Tribolium castaneum: one gene and its partner. The protein of the gene in region 2 binds, or shares a complex with, the protein of the main gene of each other region. Links are inferred from orthologs where the notes say so. Each region holds a gene or a part of one and is shown on either strand. Other genes may lie near its edges.

Region 1 (3,356 bases), on a different chromosome or scaffold from region 2:
TTATGATTGTTTTTAAGTAGTTTTATTTTTATACTCAATTAATGGTTGTGTAATGTTTCATTTTCTGGTTACATTTGTTTTAATTCTTCTAAAATCGGATCATCAACAAAAAAATATTTGTAGTATTAAGATATCAGGCATAAACGAGGACAAAATGTTATACTTTATAAAACATCAACGATGTAAAATTACACATTGTTAAAATATACAAATTTTTATTAAAACCCCTATTATTTATTGTTCCTGGTATTTTTCTACTACCATTCCTGTCCTAGGCGCAAACTTTTAACTGTACATACAGTAGACTTATTTCCCTTTTGAACGAAATGTGTAAAATACTTTGTAAAAATATCTAACATCCTTAGTCTCTACATTTGTATCATATGTGATTATGTGGTGAGTTGTAGTATTTTGTAATAATGTATATTATTTGCAATGTTTCGTATTTTTTGTACATAAATTCAGACACGTGTTGAATATTTGGCAATACCAATATGTATACTCGTTAAAATGTAAAGTGTTGATTTTTCCCGATTTTTATTTTTTCAATCCTGTAACAAAGACAATAGATTTTTTTATAAATGTGTGGTGATTTAATTTTAAATTCGGTTAAATGATCACACAACCTACTGTGGAACCTGTTAAAATTTTTATTTAAATAATATAGGATATACATTTATAAAAAAAAATGTTTTTATTATAAACTTTTAAAAGCTGTTTCTATAATTTCCTCAATCACAGTTGCACGTTTTGTACTTTCTTCCACACACTTTAAAAGTTGCTCTTCCGTAAAAACACAGCCACCTGGCTTGTGAACAAAACACAACTCTTCTTCCTTCACCACAATTGTCACCAAAGACGTACTTAAGTCCTCCTCATCCACTGTTGGGTCTATGAGAATTTTACTACAATCAAAAAATTAAAAAGTTTACAACAACAATGATAAGCTTACTCATCAAACATTGCAAACGTTGTTGCTATTGGAGTGTTGGTAACACTAAGAGCTTTCCTCTCTTGCACATTCACTTGCTTGTTGTCAAGGGCTGGATCGTACTGAACCGCTGGCAAAGTAACTGAAGCGCAATTATATTTTTCACAAAAAAACAATATTGTCTTTACCTGACTTAAGCGCTGCCATTAACGCAACAACACACGCGTCTATCAACGCCCCATCCAAATCCAAACAAATTAAATCAGCATATAAACACCAAGCTAATTTGTCTGGAAATATACATAACGTTTTTAAGTCTAAACAATCAGAGTTTTTTAAAATATCGGCAACTAACTGGGTCGCTACTTGGGCTTGTTCAGTTGGGGGTCCTGGCCGAAATTTTGACGAACACAACGGTGGTAATTCCACATTGGGGATCAAAAACCCCTCGTTTGCAGCCTCAGCCTTGGGCTGACACAACTCCTAAGGTTTGGTTTAGCAAATTGAATGCCTCCAATTACACTCACCGCTTTAATGCCGCAAACTACCGTCGTGCGACCAACTTTGGCAATCGCAGACCCATCGGCTGTCGAAATTGAGCCCAAATTGACCACGATGGGGCGATATTCCCCAAATTCGCGCCCATCAGGTCGGATTTTGTGGGCCAAGTGGTCGCGGAAGTACTTGACGGGGTGCAAAATCCTAAAACATAGGATAATCACCTTGTTATTTATTCACAGTACTACAATTATTACTTGTATTGTTCTGACATTATTGAATTTGTTTATAACCACGTTTTTCGTTTTTGACAATTGACATTATTAATGACGTTAGTTTTGATTGGTTGCCGACAACGGTGGGGGAAACGTTTGATTTGAAACGAGTAAATTCGGTTGAATAATGCAATTTTTGTAATGAAGACATTTGCTTGCAAATAGGGCATTTGGTTGGGAACAAGTATTGTCGATTGATTTTTGATTTAGTGCAAAATTCCGTTAAACCCTTCAAAACATGTTATCCCCACTCGTGTGACGTTGCTTAAATCTGGGCTCCCATTGGTCCCGTTTGTCATTTCAACGGTCTCTCAGCTGTTCGTTTCCCGCACTCTGCGCTCTTTGCATCTGGCCGTTAAAAACAGTCGTTTTGTCGGTTAGGGGTAGCTTGGGTGTTTAAGTTGGGGTTCAGTTTGGCCTTCGGTTCAGCAAACTTTTCGTTTTTCGGGTATTAGAAACTTGCACGTGTGTTAGAGGAATGGCATCGATAAGAATTCACCAGGACCAGGAAAACCGGGTGCCGGAATTGCGCCGAAAACCGGGAACGACTGCCCAGCAAAAACGGGGCGTTCTGGGCGAGATTGACAGTAATAAAGTTAATAACGCAGCCCTTAAAGGAAAACAGGTAATTAACAGTTGGAGGTAACTTTGGATGGGAAAAACGTTTGCTTTTTTGCCAGACGAAGAAGCCAACCGTTTTGGGAAACCGGGTGGAAAATGGGCAAAAAAACGAGAATAAGAAGAATGTCGTGGTTCCGGTGGCCCAGTTTGAGGCGTTTACTGTGTATGAGGATGATGAATACAGAGCGAGAATCGATGAAAGGCTCAAACTTATCAGTAAGAGTAATGTGTATAAAGGGACGGCCGAGGACAGGTTTATCACGAAGACAGAACTTGCCGAAATTGAAAGGAAAAAGAATTTGGAGAAATTGAAGGAAATTACTGCGCCTCAACTTAAGAGAAAATCGGAGATTCCGATGAGCATTGAGAAATCAGATGTGGAGAACATTGAGCTCAAAGAGCAAACGGTTTCCACAAATACCAATGCTAGAGATGTCTTTTTTGAAATGGAGGAGTATAGGGATAGCATTTTTGCTTATCTCAAAGAACATGAGGTAAAGTATCTTCAAGAACGACGAGAAAATTATTCCAAGTTTTTTTACATCCATTGACATTTATTCTCAATTAAAAAAAAAAAAACAGATTGAAGCCCTTTTTATTAACAACTTTGACTTTTTTTGAAATACTTTCGGGGCGGGAAATTTCATTATGGCTTTAATTTCGTATATTATATTCCATACTCTACGTTGTGATATGTTAAAAACATGAGAACACTTCAATTTACGATTTTTACCTATAACTTGAAAACTATCTTTTGTGGACTTTTCTCTAGAGCCTTTAGATGTGCCAAAAGCGTCAATTGAACCGGTTTTATAAAATCAGATTTATCAATTTTTGCGAAAATTTTGGTTGATTTCGATACCCGGAGCATTTATCGGGCAATAACTCCGGAACTGTTTTCCACGACCTTATTAAGATTGATCGTTGAAAAGCTTTTTTTATTTTCTATCTGCGACTGAAGAAATTGCTACTAAATGCAAAAATAGAAAGAAATTATTTCTGTAGATAACTTCAAAACTGTTACAAGTTTG
Region 2 (3,099 bases):
TTTTGACCAAAAATCTAGTTTTTTTTTTCATGTTTTTATTAAACTAGAACAGAAAAATCACCAAATTTGGTCAAAAATGAATGAAAAGTTACCGTTTCTAAACAAAAACTCAAATATTGCGCAAAATTTCTAAATAATTTAATTGTTATGGAAACGGCCAGAACAACAGTGACAACTGTTAATACAGTGAAACTTCTGTCACCCGAACTAATTCGTCCGAAATTATATATTTTTGAAATATATAGAAAGACGAAATTTAATTGTAAAAAAATTTATTCATCTTTTAAAAACTGCTCATCCGCTTTATTGAAGTCTTCGCTTAAACTTTGGGGCACTTTAAGTGTCTTCAAATCATCTTCTCCAATTTCCTCCTCGGTGCGTATCAAAATATCGACCAAATTTTCACACGCTAAAAGCACCTTTCTGTCCTTTTCCCACTTGTGCAACTCGCGCAAAATCACATAAGTGTTTCTCTCTCTGATAAATTCTCGATTTTTTCTCTTGGCACATAACTGGGTCAAAGCCTCCAGTAACATGCACCTGATATCTGGATCTTCTTCACGCTGTTTCTCCTCCGGGAGATATTGCAGTTCAAGGGGGAGCTTGTCGTTGTCTTCGTCGTCAAATTCCTCGTTTCCGGCCAGGGGGCGGAGCAGCCGGGGCAAGATATCGACATGGGGGCCCAAGAGCAGCTCATGACACTCGGGGTCAAATGTGCAGTTACGCAGGGCCCCCACGACGCCCCCGCGCCTCACGGCCGACTCCTCGAATTCAATGAAAGGCACGAGTTTGTGGATCCGGTCCAGGAAGCGTCTCCGGACGCGCCCACTTTGCGACAAGTTCGAAAAAAGGGGGCTCAAGTAGTGGAGGTTAGCCCCCGCTTTATTGTACTGTTTTTTCGTGAAAATGTCAATCAAATCGTCCAAACTTGCGCTTTTCTCAAGCGCATCAATCACTTTATCGTGATTGGCCCGAGATAAGTTCGATAAAATCATGCAGGAAAAATCGGCGATTTTACTCATGGGGTCCGTCACGAATTTAACAACAGTCGAAGTAATGTCACTCGGGGGGCTCTGTAAAGGGGGGCACCCCACACTCGTGTCCAAATCAAGCAATGCCAGGGCCCCCTTGTGATCAGCAGAGACATTAACAAGGCAAAGTGCCGAGTCTTTGACAATTGTGGCGTTATTATCACTCAAAAGTGTGATTAAGGAGACCAGAAGTGACGGTGTGTTGATTAATGTGGCAATTCCGTCCGCATTCCCCGTCAAACCTACAAAAAAATTACAAAAAACAAGTCTAACCTCGAACCCTATTACCCAAAATGTGCCCCAAAGCCACCGATTTGAGGTCCAAACGGGCCCCCAGATGCACAAACTGCAACAATTCGGCCACGGAATCACCCATTATCAGGCTAAAGCCCCCAAAAAAAAACAAAACACGAGGGGTGACAGCTGTCAAAAAAGTGGGGTTAGGTGGCAAAAAATCATTCTAATAAGTAAGGCATTATTTTTTTAGGTTTATCTCTACGTTGTATGTATATACAGGGTGTAATGAGTAGTTAAATAAACATAACATAAACCAGTTTATTTAATTCTGTAGCCAAATTAATGGTCGTAATTGGTAATTAATGTTAATTAATGAATGAGAAAGTAAAATTTTGCAAATTCGTTTTTTGACAATTGACAGTGACACTTGACGTAACCTCAAAAAAATCAAAAATTTCGTTTTTGTGCTGATTTTTCGCATGTTATAGCTCCTTGTGTGCCTTTGATTGGCTTTGAACGTCGTCTGCCGTGATAATAATATTGACAGTAAAAGGAACACGCAGTTTTTGAAATTTCTTCATGTCAATTGACATTTGACTTAACCTCAAAAAAAATCAAAAATTTCGTTTTTTGTTGATTTTGGGCATGTCATCGCCCCTTGTGTGCCTCCCGGGGCAGCGGCTGTGCCTGTCGGACCCCTCGCACGTGTCCGGTCAAGGCACGTACGAGCGTGGGGGCTACATCTACGCCACCCTTGCCGGTGTTGTGGACATTGTCCCCAAAGACAACGTCCAGATCATTGAAGTGCGCAGTTCCGGGCAGGAAACGCTCGTGCCGTCACAGGGCGACATCGTCACAGCGCAAATTCACACAATCACGCAGCAGTTTTGCAAATGCTACATTAAGTGTGTCGGGGATAAGGTTTTGGGGCGGCAGTATCGCGGGATTTTGCGGAAGGAGGACGTGCGAGCGACGGAGAAGGACCGCGTGGAGATTTACAAGAGTTTCAGGCCCGGGGACGTGATTCTGGCGAGGGTTTTGCCGATCACGGAAGCTCACACTTATCAGTTGTCCACGGCTGAGAATGAGCTGGGGGTCGTGACGGCGCACTCGGAACATGGGGGGCTTATGGTGCCTGTGAGCTGGACGGAGATGCAGTGCTCCAAGACGTTTGTGAAGGAGGCCAGGAAGGTTGCAAGAGTTGTGCCAGAAAGCGTGCAAAATGATGTGAAATAATGTTCAATAAATTGTATTTTTGTTTATTTTAATAAACCCTTTTGCGTCCCTTAAAAGTGCAAAAAAGTTAATTGAACTATTAGAGATAACCCTATAAAGTTTATAATCGTTGGAAAGCTCTTTGGATTATCTATTTTTTTCAAAAATGATTATTGTTCTCCGACTAATAGTTTTCGAGAAAATTGCAAGCAAAAGCAAAAATTGGAAACATTAAAAAAATCATAACTAAAAAACTATCGGGAATTTGGCGATTTTCTCGATGTCAATCGATTTCCCGGATCATTTTGCATAGGTAAGGATCAAAATAGTTCCACTTTTTCGAATAGTTTAGCCGTAATTCGATAAAAATTGAAAAACTTAAAAAATCACGCTGCTTCCTGAAAAACGTGCTCAAAAAACTTAAAAATAAACGCAGGCGCGAAAATTTGAATTTGAACCTAATTCTTTAAATATCTCGGAAACTAAGCGTTGGGCGCAATTTTGTTCTATGAGAGAAAAGATGCAACTTGATGTAGTCTAAGCGACGGTCTGGTTGAAATTGTAATTTTCAATAGTCATTTTGCTATCTCTTTAAGGAGCCATAAAAGACCTACAC

Evidence for each region. Proteins that work in one complex are often made in the same cells at the same time.
Region 1: Csl4 (region 2) and exosome complex component RRP43 share a complex: the UniProt entries of both Homo sapiens proteins name them as parts of the RNA exosome core complex. The link is inferred for Tribolium castaneum from reciprocal best matches to the Homo sapiens genes EXOSC1 and EXOSC8.

The regions. Positions count from the first base shown.
Region 1 is NC_087402.1:7,982,113-7,985,468, reverse strand, and holds exosome complex component RRP43, read right to left. Parts: upstream 1,832-3,356; 5' UTR 1,704-1,831; coding exon 1,687-1,703; intron 1,634-1,686; coding exon 1,459-1,633; intron 1,415-1,458; coding exon 1,120-1,414; intron 1,074-1,119; coding exon 953-1,073; intron 906-952; coding exon 698-905; 3' UTR 628-697; downstream 1-627. Other genes in the region: CycA (G2/mitotic-specific cyclin-A), read left to right, coding at 2,183-2,329, 2,385-2,819. UniProt on the Homo sapiens protein: Non-catalytic component of the RNA exosome complex which has 3'->5' exoribonuclease activity and participates in a multitude of cellular RNA processing and degradation events.
Region 2 is NC_087401.1:17,299,472-17,302,570, reverse strand, and holds Csl4 (exosome complex component CSL4), read left to right. Parts: upstream 1-1,613; 5' UTR 1,614-1,700; intron 1,701-1,756; 5' UTR 1,757-1,913; coding exon 1,914-2,504; 3' UTR 2,505-2,560; downstream 2,561-3,099. Other genes in the region: protein HGH1 homolog, read right to left, coding at 273-1,273, 1,320-1,407. UniProt on the Homo sapiens protein: Non-catalytic component of the RNA exosome complex which has 3'->5' exoribonuclease activity and participates in a multitude of cellular RNA processing and degradation events.